Ovis aries: one gene and its partners. The protein of the gene in region 1 purifies or fractionates together with the protein of each later gene. This does not show direct contact. Links are inferred from orthologs where the notes say so. Each region holds a gene or a part of one and is shown on either strand. Other genes may lie near its edges.

Evidence for each region.
Region 2: the proteins of NRP1 (region 1) and PLXNA1 purify together in Homo sapiens (affinity purification with western blotting; 4 studies listed by BioGRID). This does not show direct contact. The link is inferred for Ovis aries from reciprocal best matches to the Homo sapiens genes NRP1 and PLXNA1.
Region 3: the proteins of NRP1 (region 1) and UBR2 purify together in Homo sapiens (affinity purification with mass spectrometry; 3 studies listed by BioGRID and IntAct, counting the BioPlex papers as one, with this or other methods). This does not show direct contact. The link is inferred for Ovis aries from reciprocal best matches to the Homo sapiens genes NRP1 and UBR2.
Region 4: the proteins of NRP1 (region 1) and FAM241A purify together in Homo sapiens (affinity purification with mass spectrometry; 3 studies listed by BioGRID and IntAct, with this or other methods). This does not show direct contact. The link is inferred for Ovis aries from reciprocal best matches to the Homo sapiens genes NRP1 and FAM241A.

The regions. Positions count from the first base shown.
Region 1 is NC_056066.1:18,965,802-18,970,139, reverse strand, and holds the start of NRP1 (neuropilin-1), read right to left. Parts: upstream 2,811-4,338; 5' UTR 2,330-2,810; coding exon 2,257-2,329; intron 1-2,256. UniProt on the Homo sapiens protein: Cell-surface receptor involved in the development of the cardiovascular system, in angiogenesis, in the formation of certain neuronal circuits and in organogenesis outside the nervous system. Mediates the chemorepulsant activity of semaphorins.
Region 2 is NC_056072.1:60,170,685-60,174,247, forward strand, and holds part of PLXNA1 (plexin-A1), read right to left. Parts: intron 886-3,563; coding exon 1-885. UniProt on the Homo sapiens protein: Coreceptor for SEMA3A, SEMA3C, SEMA3F and SEMA6D. Necessary for signaling by class 3 semaphorins and subsequent remodeling of the cytoskeleton. Plays a role in axon guidance, invasive growth and cell migration.
Region 3 is NC_056073.1:16,370,433-16,373,995, forward strand, and holds part of UBR2 (E3 ubiquitin-protein ligase UBR2), read left to right. Parts: intron 1-1,337; coding exon 1,338-1,431; intron 1,432-2,248; coding exon 2,249-2,410; intron 2,411-3,563. UniProt on the Homo sapiens protein: E3 ubiquitin-protein ligase which is a component of the N-end rule pathway.
Region 4 is NC_056059.1:13,754,734-13,758,933, reverse strand, and holds the start of FAM241A (uncharacterized protein FAM241A), read left to right. Parts: upstream 1-1,340; 5' UTR 1,341-1,477; coding exon 1,478-1,648; intron 1,649-4,200.

The DNA of each region.
Region 1 (4,338 bases):
TATTGCATCTAATAGATTCCCTGTGGAAAAAGAATGGCATTCTTTGCTCTCAGCATGAATTTATAAATCTACAGAATTTTATTACAGGAAAACCAGGTCAAATGGAAATGAAAGATGAAGTGCACATCAAAAATGCATAAAGCTACATGCATTACAGAAATCATTTCCCATAAATTAAAAGAGAAGACAATATAAATTACTTTGTTTTTCTCAGTTGCTAGATGTTTCTGACTTTGTTTCTTAGACTGTTGGGGGGCGGGGGTAGCCTTATAAGGGTTTCCTCTGCCTTAGCTTTTAGAAGCTTAAGGTTTGCCAAGAAGAAATGGTGTTGTAACTGGAGTTCAGAATCTCAGCTAATGATCATACTGGACTCTGTTATGTTATTCTGCAGAGGCTCTTGCATTATTTTAAATGTGCAGAAAACTTGGAAAGCAACCCCATCTCATTAAGTCTCCTCCAGCTCTGTACAAACATCATGGCAGTGTCTGGCATCTGTTAAGGAGTGAAATAAAACAGCACTGCTTGTAGCCACTCGACAGAGTCACTTCAGAAGACATTTAGGTGGACTCAGTACCACACCAGAGCTCTTTAATCTGTGACTTCTGAGAAAGTGACAGTGTAATAAGATAATGCGGACTCCTAGACTCCCTGGCTCTGTTAAATCTCTCTAACACTTGATTAAGAACGAGCAGTTTCTAATGATTCTGGACCATTAGTCCTAAATAAGGTTAATGAATTAATTTAGCAGACACTGGTACTCCAAGGAGGTGGACATGGCTGGGAAAGGTCTGCTGAGCTAGAGGCATTAACTGGCTTTGGTCACTGTTAAGTATAGCAACATAGGTTTAACCAGTCAAGTCACTGACTGCAGCTTAGGGTCTCAGCATTCCCCAGATTTCTGCTAAGAAAACTGGGAAGTATGTGTATCTCTCATGTATGTATATACACACACACATATGCACACACACACACAGACATACATATGGAGTTCACAGCCTAAAGTCTGAAAGCTATTGGCATTGGATTTCAAATCCATCCTATGAACACCCGCCACCGTGGAAGCAGATGTTGTTACTGTAATTTCTAAAGTCTAACCATTGGAGCTCTTTCAATTGGAGGTGAGTGTTATTTCATTCCCTGCCAGACTAGAGAAGGATGCCATCATCTGAGGTTCATTAATAAATTGAACTCTACATTCACAATTGTATGTGTTTTGCTTCCAAGCATATCTTTTAGAACACTGCTTGGTAGCTGCTCGGGAAATCTATTGCTTCAATCAGGAAACCTCTAAAAAGCATATTAGAGAGATTAACGCCCATCATAAAGATGTGATTTAAATTCCTCTCGGTATGAACCCCTCCACTTGTGGTCTCTTATTAAAACAATATACCACGGGTAAGTAGCGGATGGGCTCTCTTAATTACTCTGATTGAAATCTAAGCCAGGCTAAAGTAAATATTTGATAATTAGTTAATAATAATTGCTGAAGACTTACTGTAAAGATAATGTCACCCGCCCCCTTGCTTCCACCTACTTTACAGTGTAAGTTGAACATGCCTACAACCAGATCCCATTTTAAAACACATTATTTACGTTACAGGATACTGCTTCTAACCCAGCACGGTCTTCCATTTACTTAACACTGAGTGGTTTTAAAAGCTAAGTGGAAGCTGCAACTAGGTTAGGGGATTTTCACATATCCTGGTGCCTTACAGCGTGTGTATCAGATTCCTTTATTGACACGATATAACTTTCATTCATACTCCAGACGGAGCAGGGCTGGTTTGAAAAAGCGGAGGAGGGACTAACACCCACCCGCAAACCGCTATCTCCTGCGGGCACCCACCAGAGGAATCAGTTCTGGGGAGCTGTCGGAGAATCAGGAAGTGCTCCCGGTAAAGTGTTCATTAACTTTCAACAGCCATCATATTTTTGAAAGGGAGTCTCCTCTAATTGCCTTGGGGAGGAAACATTATTAAGATAATTGGTGCGCTGATCTGGGAAGGTAGGGCGCTCAGCCTCGTAGCAGAGGTGGGAAAAACCCCATGGCCAAACAACCAACTTCAGGAGGGAGTCAGAGGACGTGAAATCTCCCTGCCCTACCTACAACGACTAATCTTATTTCTTTATTTCTCCGTCTGGCTAAAAGTTTCCTTCACCGGGAGGCGGCTCTCCCCGGTGGGTCCCGGCAGCTCGGAGCGGGCAGCCGGGAACCGGGTTCACCCCCGCGGCCGCGCGCCTCCGCCTGTCACTTACCGTTGCGAAAAGCGCCGGCCGCGCCGAGGACCAGGGCTAGCGCGGCGCACAGGAGCTGCAGCCCCTTCTCCATCCTCCCTTCGCCAGGTCTCCGGGGCGAACGCGGGAGAACCGAACGTGCGGGGAAAACAGAGCACCGGGGCGATCTCCACGATCCGGAGCGCTTTCACTCCTCCCGGAGCTGTAAAATCCTCAGACCGTTTTGGAGAAAGAAAAGCGTTGAGGCAATGCCTTGATCCGAGAGAAACGCTCCTCTTTTTGTGTCTCAAGTCGCCTGCATCCTGTCATTTAGCTCCGGTTTCCTCTCTCTTTTCCCACACTTGTTCCTCTTCCAGGAGCCGCTGCCCGGGCCATGTCTCAAAAAAAAAAAAAAAAAAAAAAAAACGTAGGGGGTGTGGGAGGGGGAGGAGGGACGTAGAGAAACACACACCAACGCCAATTTCCAGAAAGAAAGAAAAAAAAAAAAATCCGGCTTGATTCTGGACCCGTTGGATCCGGGGAGCTGGCGCCCAAGGGAGGTCGGGGTGTCTGCGCGAAGAGGAGCAAGCAATGAAAAGATGAGCGGGAGACGAAGGAGTTTCACCAACTGCACCCCCGCCTCCCCCACTGCCTCCTCCCCTCCCCTTCTGGAGCCCTTCCCTCGCTTCCCCCCGCCCCTCTCCCCGCACAGGCTCGCCAGCGATTGCCTGACAAGAGACGGGGAGGAACAAGTTTCTCTCCCTGAACGTTCCCCGTCCGTCTGTCCGTCTCTCCCACAAGCCCTGCTGGGATCTTCCCCGGCAGGGAGGCGCCGGGACTCCGTGCCCAGGGCCGAGTGCCGGATGTGTTTGCGGGGGTACCGGGCGTCGAGGTCGGTGGCAGCGCCAGGGTCGGGCTAGCCCATCTCGGCATGCTCGCTCGGGCCCCCGGGGGAGAGCGGGCAGTTCCGCTAAGATTTTGGGGGGTCGGCCGCCGGAGACAGGCAGCGCGCCCGGGAGGTGGCGGCTGCTTCTCCCAACTCCGAAACCCTCGGGAGGCGCCCGAGACGTGACCTGGGGTCGTGACCTGGGGCAGGAGCAGCAGGGCGCCCCTGGACGTTGCGGATCAGGCCCGAAGGGGCCGAGGAAAGGGGCTGGGGTTGGGGACGCACCCCGGAGCCGGGCGAGAGTCGGCAGTATCGCTGCCACGCAGAGCCGAGTCAGTAGACTCACGCAGACTAGGCTGTGCTGCAGCCCCGCCCGGCCTGCCTGCCCCGTATCGGGGCGCGCGGCTGGGCGCCTGGCGAGCCCGGGTGTCTGCCGCGCGCCGCGGGCTCCATTGTTGCCGAAGATCTGATGTCCTCTTCTCCCGGCCAGAGGGGACGCCGAAGGGTGGAAGGTGGTGAGCCTTCCAGCTAGGGGGCAGTCGTTGCCCGACCCCACCCAGCCGGCTTATTCGGAGCCCAGGTGCTCGGGGTTTGGAAATGAGGGGTCCAGCGGTCGGGGCTCCTGTGCATCACCGGGGAGCAGGAACAGTGGCGGGGGCGGGGGCGGGGTGTTGCTCTTGGCCGGGCTCTCACGGTGCCCGCTCCGGCTACAGGCGGTTGTCACGCCGGCCCACCCCCGCCTCCCACTGCAGCGCGTCCTCAGTGGGCTCTGGATGCCCCCCAGTTCGGTCCCCGAAGGGTTTTCCGGGAAGTGCTGCAGAAAGCCTCTGCAGATAGGAATAGCAAGGACATTTCAGGGACCAAACAGGTTTTGGCTACGGATCAGGCCCTTGAGAAGGTAAATGCCCAGGGACCCCTCCGAAGGAGTTCGTGGGGAAGGTGAAAAGGTCAGCCGCCTTCTGGGAACGGCGTTTCTGCACACACCCGAAAGCAGAGCCTTAGTCCTACCTGGCGCAAAGAGCTGGCAAAAGAGATTTAGGAATGTTGGCAGGAAGACTCTGGTCAAAGGTTTTGGCGGAAGAACTAGGGGCGGGACGCGAGGAAGGCGGCCCAGCGCGCGCGGGCCCTGGTGAGGGCTCGGCTCTAGCGGGTGGCGGCTGGACGCGGTGGCGCGCCCCGGCTGGGGTACAGACGATCCCCGCGCGCCGTGCAAAGCTGCACCTCGGGCTTGCGGGCCC
Region 2 (3,563 bases), on another chromosome or scaffold:
AAGTGCTCGCCGGCAGCGTCGGGCGAGGTCAGCTGCGTGTCCAGCTGCAGGGTGAGGTAGTACACGAAGTGCTCGCTGCGGAAGCTGTACACGTAGTAGATGTCGAAGGCCGGGAACTTGGACAGCGTGTCCGAGGGGATCTTGAGCTGCGAGGACACGAACTCGTCCTGGTACACGAAGCCAAACATCTCGGCGTCCTCCTCGTTGGCCATGAGCCGGCGGCTGGACAGCGTGGGGAAGTACTCGGACTTGCCGTCGATGGGCGTGCCCACAAAGAGCTTGGCCTGCGCCTGGCCGGGCGGCCCGGCGATCAGCACGCCGGCCATGCTGCCCGCCTCGCGCACGCCCGACAGGTAGTGCTCCTTGCGGTGGTGCGGCTCGCCCAGCTTGAAGAGGTCGTCCAGGCGCAGGAACTGGCAGATGCCTTGTGAGGCGCTGCCGCAGGCCAGCAGGCGGTTGGCGGGCTGGTCCAGCAACAGCAGCTTGTTGACGTTGTCGGTGCTGCCCAGGCCGTGCGGGCAGGACTGCACGCTGGGCGGGGGGTAGCACTTCTCGTTGTCCTCCACCGGGCCCGTCACATGCGCCCGCAGCAGCGTCAGGTTCCCCGACAGCTTGTAGATGCGGTTCACGGCGCCCACATACACCTCGCCCGTCTGCTCGTGGACCACCAGGTGGGTCAGCGCCCAGTCGCTGGCAGTGAAGGTGCGGAAAGGGGGCTGCAGACCCCCGCCTGCCGGGGGGGCGGCCCCCAGCAGCAGCAGCAGCAGGATCAGCAGCAGCAGCAGCGGAGCCCGCGGGCTCAGGCGCGACAGCAGCATGACGGGCCGGGGCCTCAGGCAGAGGCGCTTGGGTCCTTCGGCGCCAGGCATCACAGGAGCCTCAGCCCTGCGGGGAGGAGGGACAGGGCGTGTCACCTGCGCCGTCACTGAGCGCCAGTGCCCATCCTCCGCCAGGATGTCCCACTCGTGGGGCGCAGCCTCACGCTCCAGGAGACGCCAGAGGGGCAAGGGAGAGCCCCTCCCGGCCTGGAGCCCTGGGGGCAGCTATTCTGAGCCCCACACTCCGGCCAGCAGCGCGGGCCGCTCGAGCTCTGCCGCTCGGGAGAAGATAGGAACCCAGGACCGGGAGGTGGGCGACAGACCTGGGCCTGCCCACGCCCCCCAGGGAGCAAGGCTCCCGGCTCCAAGCTCCCACGGTGGTGACCGCCTCTCTGCCCAAGCGCCTTGCGGGCTGGACAGTACTCACAGGTAGTAGAGAACACTCGTGTGGTCCCTGCAGAAGGCGGGGCTCCTCGCAGCCCCGCCCCGCCCCTGGCCCCGCCCCCAGCCCTGCCCACCTGCCCTCGCCCCGCCCCCAGCCCTGCTCGCTAAGAGCCCGGCCCCGCCCCCTTCTCTGAGGAGTTCCCCAGCAGCGGGGTGGCTTGCACCTCCCACCCCCAGCCAATGGCTGTCCCTACCCCAGGCGAGAAGCCCCCAGACCCTGCCTCCTCGCAAACAATCTCATCTCCCCACAGCTCAGCAGCTGGCAGCCACACTCCAGGTTACGTGTAGCCTCTGGGGCCCGCAGCCACGTGGTTGACCGGGTCGCCAGCCAGGGTCTCCCCGTCTATGCAGGCTCGTCTCCCGGGTGACAGTGAGCAGGCCGGGGTGCCCAGTCAGGGTCCCGCCTCAGCTGTCCCCGGACTTGCGGGCTGAGGGCAGCAGCCGCGAGCTCTCCAGCTGTCTGTCACCCTTGTAGTCTGAGGCCCGAGCTGTCCCCAGACACTGTCCCCACCAGCACGAGAGCTGCCTAAGCCCCAGAGGCCAGCCCAGGACCTGCCCATGTGAGTGAGTGACTGGGCCCTGCCGCCCACCCCAACTTCACTCCCCACACCCTCTTCCAGTTGGGGATGCTGAGCCTCGAGAACTGAGGCGGTGGGGGGGTGGGTGGGGCGGCTGGTCAGCACTCCACGGGTGACGGGTGGGGGCCCAAGGCGGGATGCTGAGCCCCCAGAAGGGGGGGTGGAACTCTGGCCAGCATCCCACAGAAAGGGCACCAGGCTGTGCTGCCACAGAACCCTGCCTGCAGGCTGTCAGCTACCCCTCACTCCCTGCCCAGACATTCCCAACAACTGTGGCCGCCAAGGACCTCCCAGGCGGCAGGGAGAGGAGTCCCCAGCCCCTGCCTCCAGCTCAGGAGGCCAGGGCAGAGCAGTACTGGAGAACAGGCTCCTCAGGACTCGGCAGGGCCTGGGCTGAGTGCTTTCGAACTCCAAAGAAAACATGAATCACTCACCGTTTATCAGTTCAAAGCAGGCCTGCAATTACCAGGGGCTGGGCTCTCCCCTCCTCCGGATAATTACACACGTTCTAATGCAATTACGGGCCCTACTTTTTATATTAAACAGGAGGGACCCAGCTGAAGAAGCGCCATCCAAACTCCAGCCTGGCCGGGGGCCCGCTGCCCCTCCCCCAACAGGGCTGCCCAGAGGACCAGCCAGGCTGCAGCCAGCAAAAGAGGGCGTCCAGACCACCCCCTCACAGGGGCCACTAAAGACAGCTGGGGGACTCCCCCTACCCACGAGGAACGGGCTGTGGCTCAGATAGACCCAAGGTCACCCAGCTAGCTGTGCACACTCCCACGGAGACCTGGACTCCCACGGGCCTCTGTTCTACCCAGGAAAAAATGCATTCATTCCAGAGCGGCTGCTGGGTAGGGCCACGCCGGCCGGGGGAGAGGAGCCGGGACAGATACGAGCTCTGGGCCCGCGCTGGGGTCCGGGGAGGCCCTTCCACCTGCTGGTTAAGGACCAGGCCCGACGCTGGCGGGGGAGGGGCACCCTGGGCGCAGAGCAGCAGGAGCAAAGGCCGGGGTGGAACCTGCTGGACCGCGCAGAGGGCAGTGAGGGTGCCCGCAGCACCAATCAGAGCCAGGCCGGGAGGGAGAAGCTGCCCGGGGCACAGGGCTGGGCGTGCCGACGGGAGGTAAGCAGGGCAGGGAGCGGCCCAGCGGCCTCCACGCCCGCACAGGACCGGCTCAGCCATCCGCCAGGGCGTGGAGAGCGCGCCACCCGCTTCTCTGCCGGCCCGCGGCCACCGCCGCTCCGCGCCCTGAGAAACAAAGGCCCTCAGAGGCTTCTTCCCAGAGGAACGGCCCCGATTTCCCCCGCCCCACTGGCCAACTCCCCAGCCACATCTGGACCCTCGCAGGACTCGGGCAGCTTGAGGCATTGGGGACGGAGAAGACACAGCGTCCTACCCAGGGGTGCCTTGTCGGTCAGCAGCCAGCGCCAAGAGCTGCCCCGTCACCCCACCTCCCCCACACAGGCCCCCGGAGGTGGTCCCAAGCCGCCTGCTCCCCTCCAGGCCTGTCCGAGGGGGCCGGGATCGCAGGCACTCGAGTCCTGCTCCTCAGGAAAAGTGCCTGCTCCCCGGCTCCCCCGAGTTATCCTCTCCTCCCGACCCCATTTCACACCCGGAGACGTTCCTCGGCGTGAGGAGGGGCTTACAACACACCAACCACGGCAGAGCCGGCAAAGGGCAGTCGGCTTGGTTCACAGCTCTCATCGGTCCCCCACCCCCACG
Region 3 (3,563 bases), on another chromosome or scaffold:
TTCCTGCAGGGGCAGGTGGGCTATACCCTGTGTACACCATAGATACTTTTATGTTTCTACTCTTCTATTTGTTTATATGTGCATGTGCCTCAGTGATACCAGTAAACTTGGTGAGAACAGGAACTGTGTCTTAAATTCCAAGGCACTTGTTTAACCAGCGCTTTTCACATTGTAAGACTAGAAGGAAGTTTGAGAGCCCACTGGTAAAATTGCCTTTTCTCTACATAGAAAGCCTTCAGAGTGTGGCTCTCAAGCCCCCTTGTTAAGAAAAATTGGTCTGCTTCATCTTAAGAAATGATCATTTGTACCAGATGGTTTACAGATTTCACTCCAGGCTTAGGATAAAGTTATCACCTGTATTTAGTTTGTTACCTACTTGGAAAAACGGACTGGCTATAAGTGGATTTTTTTTAAGACTTTCACAGTTTAGGTCATTAAAGATTTTCTTTATGCTGTGAAATTTGCACTATTCTATTATATAAAACAAATTGAAACGAGTAATTTTACTGTTAGAGAATTTCTAAAATTATACTAATTTATGTAGAGAATTCCAAGAATTCCTGAAGAAGCCAGCTAGCCACTTTATGTTTGTCTTCATTTTTCATCTCCTTTGACTATAAAAATTAGTGCCAGAACAGAAGACTGTGTGAATTGCCCTTTTTTCCCTACTCTGGTTTGGGCTGCTGTCCTGGTATTTTGCTGCACCTGTGACTCACACCGTAATTGTGGCTCTTCTCTGCATGAGTGTCCTTACGCAGAATCTCCTCTAGGGAGCGCCCCACTACTGCCAGGACATCTTTTTTGTTGGAGATCATTGTGAGCCAGCTGCCCTGAAGGCGTTAAAGACAGCGCCATCATTTGTGGGAAATAAGAGTCTCTCAGTGCCCTGAAAATGTGATGTGTTCAAAAAATTAGATGTACTTAAATACAGAATTCCCTGGAGAAGGAAATGACAACCCCCTCCAGTATTCTTGCCTGGAAAATGCCATGGACAGAGAAGCCTACAGGGGGCTACAGTCCATAGGGTCGCAAAGAGTCAGACATAGCTGAGAGTCAGACAAAACTGAGCGACTAAACAACAACAGGATTCCAGTTTCAGTTCACAGTTCAAGGAAGTTTCATTAATTTGCTCAGGGTAATGAAAATTGGGGAGTCCTGTATTCTAAATAATCTAGGGTCTTGCATAAATTATTGGTATCTCAAAGGAATAAACTAGCATTTCATTTGAAGTTTACAGGCTCTTAGTAAGGATTGCACAGTTTAGCATTGTACATTTGTTATAGGAATATTAAATGCTTGAGTTTTCTCTTATGTTTTTTGTTTGTTTCATAATGCAGAAAATTATGATCCATTATTCATGCACCCTGATCTGTCTTGTGGAATACATACTGGTAGCTGTGGGCATATTATGCATGCACACTGTTGGCAAAGGTAATTTATATTCTTAATATTAGTCAAGAGACGCTTACCCAAAGACTCAAAATCTAATTTTTTTAATAAAGGAAATTACATTCTGGAAAAAGGGGAGAAAACTAAACACATTTGAAGGAGAAAAGACTCCATTATTACTGCCTAACAAATAACAATTAAAATTAATTTGCTTTGTCAGTACATTTAAAGGAGTGACTTAGAAACTTCATAGTATATCAAATATAATTTTTAATTTAGGGGTCTGTATTTTTTAATATGGGAAATCTAATAGACTGGATGAAGAAAAGGATTTCTACAATGGTATAAACCCAAGAAGAATGTCTTTCTTCGGGTCCAAGGTGAACAACTCATGACTCTGAAGATGCTAGCACTTGCCTAGTTGCCTCTCAAGATTGTCATGGCTCCCTGAGCTAATATGGAATAACTTCAAACTTACTGTATTTCGGTGTTTTCTAAGCTTCTGCAGTAGCAGAAGTGCCGTTATTCTAGTACTCTGCTCACTGAGTTGTCCTGAACCACCCCAAGTAAGTAGCACTAGCCCTGGGGGAGAAACCACAGCTCACTAGGGCCAAGAAATATGCTACTTGGTGACTGACTGTTTGCGAGGCAATCTTCTTTTAATTCTCTTGTTTTAGAACTCTTAGCCCTTTTTGCTAATTACTACAATGTAAAGTATCACTTTAAAAAATAATTGCGGTCATTTTAAAATTTTAATTTTTAGATGTTTTGTGGAAACAAAATGTTGAAGCTTGTGGCTCTCATTTAGAAAAAAAGAATTGCCATTGTTTTTGATACCTCATGTTTTCTAATTGTGAAGGTATTTTGATTCCGTTCAAGCTAAAGAACAGCGAAGGCAACAGAGATTACGCTTACATACAAGCTATGATGTAGAAAATGGAGAATTCCTTTGTCCCCTTTGTGAATGCTTGAGTAATACTGTTATTCCTCTGCTGCTTCCTCCAAGAAATGTTTTTCATGGGTAAGTTTTGGCTCATAAAACCTTTGTATCAAAGAAGTAGTTTCCTTTAGAAGGTAATGAAATGATAAACCACAGCTGGGTGGGGATATCCCTCTAGGTAAATGCATGTTTTCCAGGTACTTTCCAAACTTTTTATTTAGTCATTTCTTCTAGCTGACCTATGAGATACAGTTTTAGTTTTTAGAAAGGAACAGACCAAAATTTAAGTTTTTTGATCACCCATAAACACTAGAAAGGATATAAAATCCCCATGGGTTCGTGAAAACCGTCTCCTTTATTTCTAAGACCCCGCTTTGAATATCTCCTTCATACTTTCTTGAGACACTCAATAAATCAGTGGGGGGAGGGGCAGCTCAAACTGACCTTATTGAGCATACTAACAATTAAATATTATTTTTTGCAATTTACTGGCCAATAGAAGAATTGGGCCAAAAAGTGAATATCTGTTAGTGTATTTAAAATGTAAAAATTTTGTTATTTCATGATGTTTAGTGTGCTTTTTAGTTATTCATGATCATTTTCCTCTCAGATATGAATTTGATGGTATCTCCTATTCAAACCTGACCTTTGTATACATTAAGTTTTATGAATATGAATCATCTGTTTATTTCTATGCTACTATTTGGGTTTAAATTAAAGCAGAGTCAGTTTTTTTCTCTTCAATTTTAAGAGTTCAAACTATGGTGTCTTAGTCTATGCTACCGCAAAATGCTCTTAAAATACCATTAGATATGATGTAAGCTCATGCTTTTTTAATCAGAAAAGAAATATCATGGTGCTGACTTATATCTGCATTTGAACTGATACAGAAATTAGTCACTGTAAGATTAAGAATAGAATTCTCTACGTGTAAAGAGAAAAAACTCACTTCTGTGGTGCAGGTTTTGCTTTTTTCCCAGGAGAGTCAGTTATGGCACATTTGTTAAGAAGACAAGCTATCGTGTCTGATGTAGCTAGGTTTGAATGCCACATCTGTCCCATATACAGCCTTAGTCAAGTTACATAGCTCAAAACCTCAGTTTCCTCATCTGTAAAATGGGGACAATAATATAACCTATTAAGAAAATTTTGAGGATTAAATCTAATACTGTGAAATGCTTGCAACATAACTAGGTGCTTACAGCATAATAAGCACTCAATAAATAGTATCCAT
Region 4 (4,200 bases), on another chromosome or scaffold:
CCTTGATCACCCTCTTTGGGTTCCATTAGTTTGCTAGAGCTGCTCACAGAACTCAGGGAAGCATTTACTTAACCATTTTATTACAAAAGATAGTACAAAGGATATGGGTAAACAGTCAGATGAAGAGGTACCCAGGGCAAGGTGTGTGGGACAGGATGCAGAGCTTTCATGATCACTCTAAGCTGCCCCTCTCCCCCCATTTCCACCTGTTCACCAACTCAGAAGTTCTCTACCCCCTGTCCTTTGTTTTTCTACAGAGGTTTCAGTATGTAGGCAACGCTGATTAAACTCTTGAGCTTTGGTGATCAACTCAACCTCAGTCCCTCCGCCCTCCCAGGAAATCAGGGGGTGGGACTGAAAGTTCCAATCCTCTAATCACAAAGTTGGTTCTTCTGGGAATAGGACCCATCCTTAAGTTTCATAGGGACTACCAAAAAGTTACCTCCTTAACGTAACAAAAGACATCTTTATCCTTCTCACCAATTGAGAAGCTTCAAGGTTTTAGGAGCTCTGTGCCAGGAATGGGGACAAACGCAAAATATATATATATATATATATATATATATATATATATATATATATGTATATATATATATATATAATTCTTATTATAAATCCTAACACTTATAAACTAAATGTATCCCCCACACTGAGAGTGACATATTTTTACCCATTTATAGAAACATACACAAAAGCAGATACACTACCTCTGCTCCCAAGGCTTTGACAACCAACACACACCAGGGAAGCGCTCAACAGAGAGATACCTTCAGACCTTCGGAGAAACACAGAAAGGAGGCAAAAGGAACGAAATAGACATGGAATGCGTATGACTTGCAAGATGAACAGCTACTCAGGACAGGCAGCCAGCAGCGTGCCCAGGCACACCAGTAGTGCCAGGCAAACCCAGAGGGGTCTCGCTGGAGTGTGTGTGTTTCCTTCTCTCTCTCACACACACACCAACACACGCTTTCCTCTCTCCCTCAACAAACGCATACATCCTGCCTTTCACAGTCTCTCTCTCACAGTCTCTCCTATGCACACGCCATCTCTTACACAGTCTCTCACGGTTGTTGTGCTGCACTCATACACAAAATCTCTCTCGCACAGTCTCTCACACAGTCTCTCATACACAGCTCCTCTCTCTCATACACAGTGTCACACGCACATGTAGTCTCTTAACGTACACTCTCACACAGACTCCCTCTCCTGTCACACTCGCACGCGCGCGCGCGCCCTTGGCCCCGCCCCTCCGTGGCCCCGCCCCCGCCCGGGCTCCGCCCCGGCGGCTGAGGGCGGGGCGAGCCCGTGACTCGAGGGGCCGAGCCGGGCTGGTACTCGTGCCGCCCCAGCCGGCGGGGCGCGCTCTGGAGGCGCCTGTCAGTGGCAGGCGCGGACGATCCTACGGCGGCCCTCGGGCACTGGGTCGCTGCCTCCGGCTTGGCGGCGGTCCCGGGCGGCAGAAGTTGGCGGCGGAATGTGCTCGGCCGGGCAGCTGCTGGGCGGCGGCGGCGGCGGCGGAGGCAGCGGCGGGGAGCGCGACGAAGACCGAGACGCGCTGGCGGAGCGAGCGGCGGCGGGGACGGAGCAGGAGTCCGGGGCGAGCCCGCGGCGGCGCGGGCGGCGGCCGCAGGAGGAGAGGGAGCAGGTGAGCCGAGCGGGGCGGCGTGGGCTGGCCGGTTTCCCGAGCCCCACGCGGAGGCGGAGGGAAGTGGTCCGGCGGGAGGGCGGCGCCCGGGCTGTGCTCGGCTTGGGGAGCTGGGCTTCGTGGCGTTCTGGGAAGCCGAACAGTTGACCCCGAGAGCAGTTGACGGCGCGCTCGGGGCGGGCCGCGGGGTCGCGTGCCGAGGGCCGACCCGGAGTCGCGTGCCTGGCTGGGTGAGCACCGCCTTTTCCCACCCGTGTGGCGGAGAGGATTCTCAGGCCAGAGCCCGGGGCTCTGGGGAAATGCCCTCCATAACGGTCGCTTATCTGAAAGCCTTCCATGTAAACACTCTTCCACTTGGAATCTGTTCCCCGGGGCTGTGTTTTAGGGGCCAGCGACTCCCCTCCCGCCTTCCATCTTGGCATTTCTGAACACACCTAGCGCCTCTGTACGGTGTAGGTGTATTTCTGTAGCCATGCAAGTCAGTATCTGAAGGCATGTGTAGGAGCGAGTATTACAATGGATGTCTTGACGGGGACTCTCCCAGAGCAAGTTTTTGACATGAACAGAAAGGAGATCTAAACTTCATTGAAAAACTGAAAAAGCCGAAAAATTGCTTTCAGTTGTTACCAAAGGGAGAAAAAGCATGGTTCCAGCCATAATAAAGGAGAGAAGTTGGGCAATTTTTGAAACTCTGAATTTGCTTTCACTAAATAAAATATGGTGATAATAGGCGTTATAGCATGTATCTTGACAATTAGGGAAGACGTTTAATGAAAGAAATTGAATTATCCCACATAGTGGGATGAATTTTCACCATGAAATACAGTAGACCTTCAAAAATACCCGAGATTGGCTTACCCTCAGAATCCCATTAAAGCGCAAGAAATAAAACTATCGTTTGCCTTTATTACAGGGTATACTGTTGAGATCAATACCTATCTCCTCTCATTATCCTTCAGCATCTTTTTGTCACATTTCACAAACTCCAACATCACTAAATGCATTAATAGGTAATTTCTCTGCCTTGGTTTTAGGAAACAGAAATAACCGTGTGGCAGGCACAAAATATGCCTTAGCATTAGGTTTGTTCACCATGTGGAAGTGTAATTTTTCATTCTTTTGATGATATAGGAGATGGTAACTGAAGCATATAATTGGTAGCTATGAGATCTTCCTGACTAGTTTCCTGATGGTTTATCCGCATTAACTGTGCCATGACTCAGTAGCTAAAGGACTGTTTCCTCTTACTTTAGTTGTTCAACTGGCAAAGTGAGGAAAACAGCAACAGAAATTCCCTGGGGCGGGGGAAATATTATTTGAATTGAAGATCCCAAAGTAATTTTCAAGTGGTTGTAAGGGAGTATGTAAAATACTTCATCTAAAAAAATAAAAATAAAAATAAAATACTTCATCTAAGCTTTTGTGGATCTTCAATCAGCAGCAGCTCTGGTCTTAACAGAATTGCTTATGGTACACAAAAAGGGATGAAACAAAAAAGAATGAAATATATACCCTAGAAAACAGATATATTTTGCATACCTGCCTCTATCATTGTGTGTCATGGAAATTTATTTTCCTATACTCTTGTGAAAACGTTATCATTTCATTTTTATCACATGATTTATTTATGTACTCTAAGCCCACATACACAATACTTGAAAATTATACCTGAGATATGCATTCCCTCCTAATAATATATATGCACCAAAGAACTTCTCATAAGTAAGTCAAAAATAAACAAAGAGATTGATACAACCCAACCCATTGGTATAAGAAACAAGCTTTTGTGATAAATCACTTCTTGGTAATGAAAAGTGTTAGTCTCAGTCGTGTCCAGCTCTTTGCAACCCCATAAACTGCATCCTGCCAGGCTCCTCTGTCCATGGAATTATCCAGGCAAGAATACTAGAGTGGGTTGCCATTCCCTTCTCCAGAGGATCTTCCCAACCTAAGGATGGAAGTCTCCTGGTCTCCTACATTGCAGGTGGATTTTTTGCCATCTGAGCTATCAGGGAAGCGATAAATGTAGCTTTCTTTCAAGTGCTGAAAATGAAATTTATATGCACTGTCTTGTAATGACAGTAGAGACATAAAGATATTTGAGGAAGAGGTAAATGATATTAACAACTGTAAAACATAGCCTAAGGAGTTATTTTAATTTGCTTTTCTTTAGGCAGATAGTATGTGTGTGTTTGCTGCTTTAAGGACACGTGGACTCCAAATTACAAATGGAGTACTTTTGAAAACTTGGTTTGTAATCTTGTTAATATTTGGAACTTGGAGTGAACTTTTCCATAGAAACAATGATAGGAACAAAACCAAAACTAATTAGCTGGAAATGAGACAGAGGCCATCTCCTGCTGTCCTTTCTGCTTGACACACTCAATATTCCAGAATCTGAGCAGTCTCACGGATATTAAAAGAGAATTGGTCGCAGAGGCTGCAGTAATAGCAGAGGCTCCCTTATATCTGGACCAGGGTTATAGGTGGTGTGTTCTTGAATGCAGTAGCTCCAGAAGGCACCTGCCTTTGCTCCTCCATCTCTTTCAGAG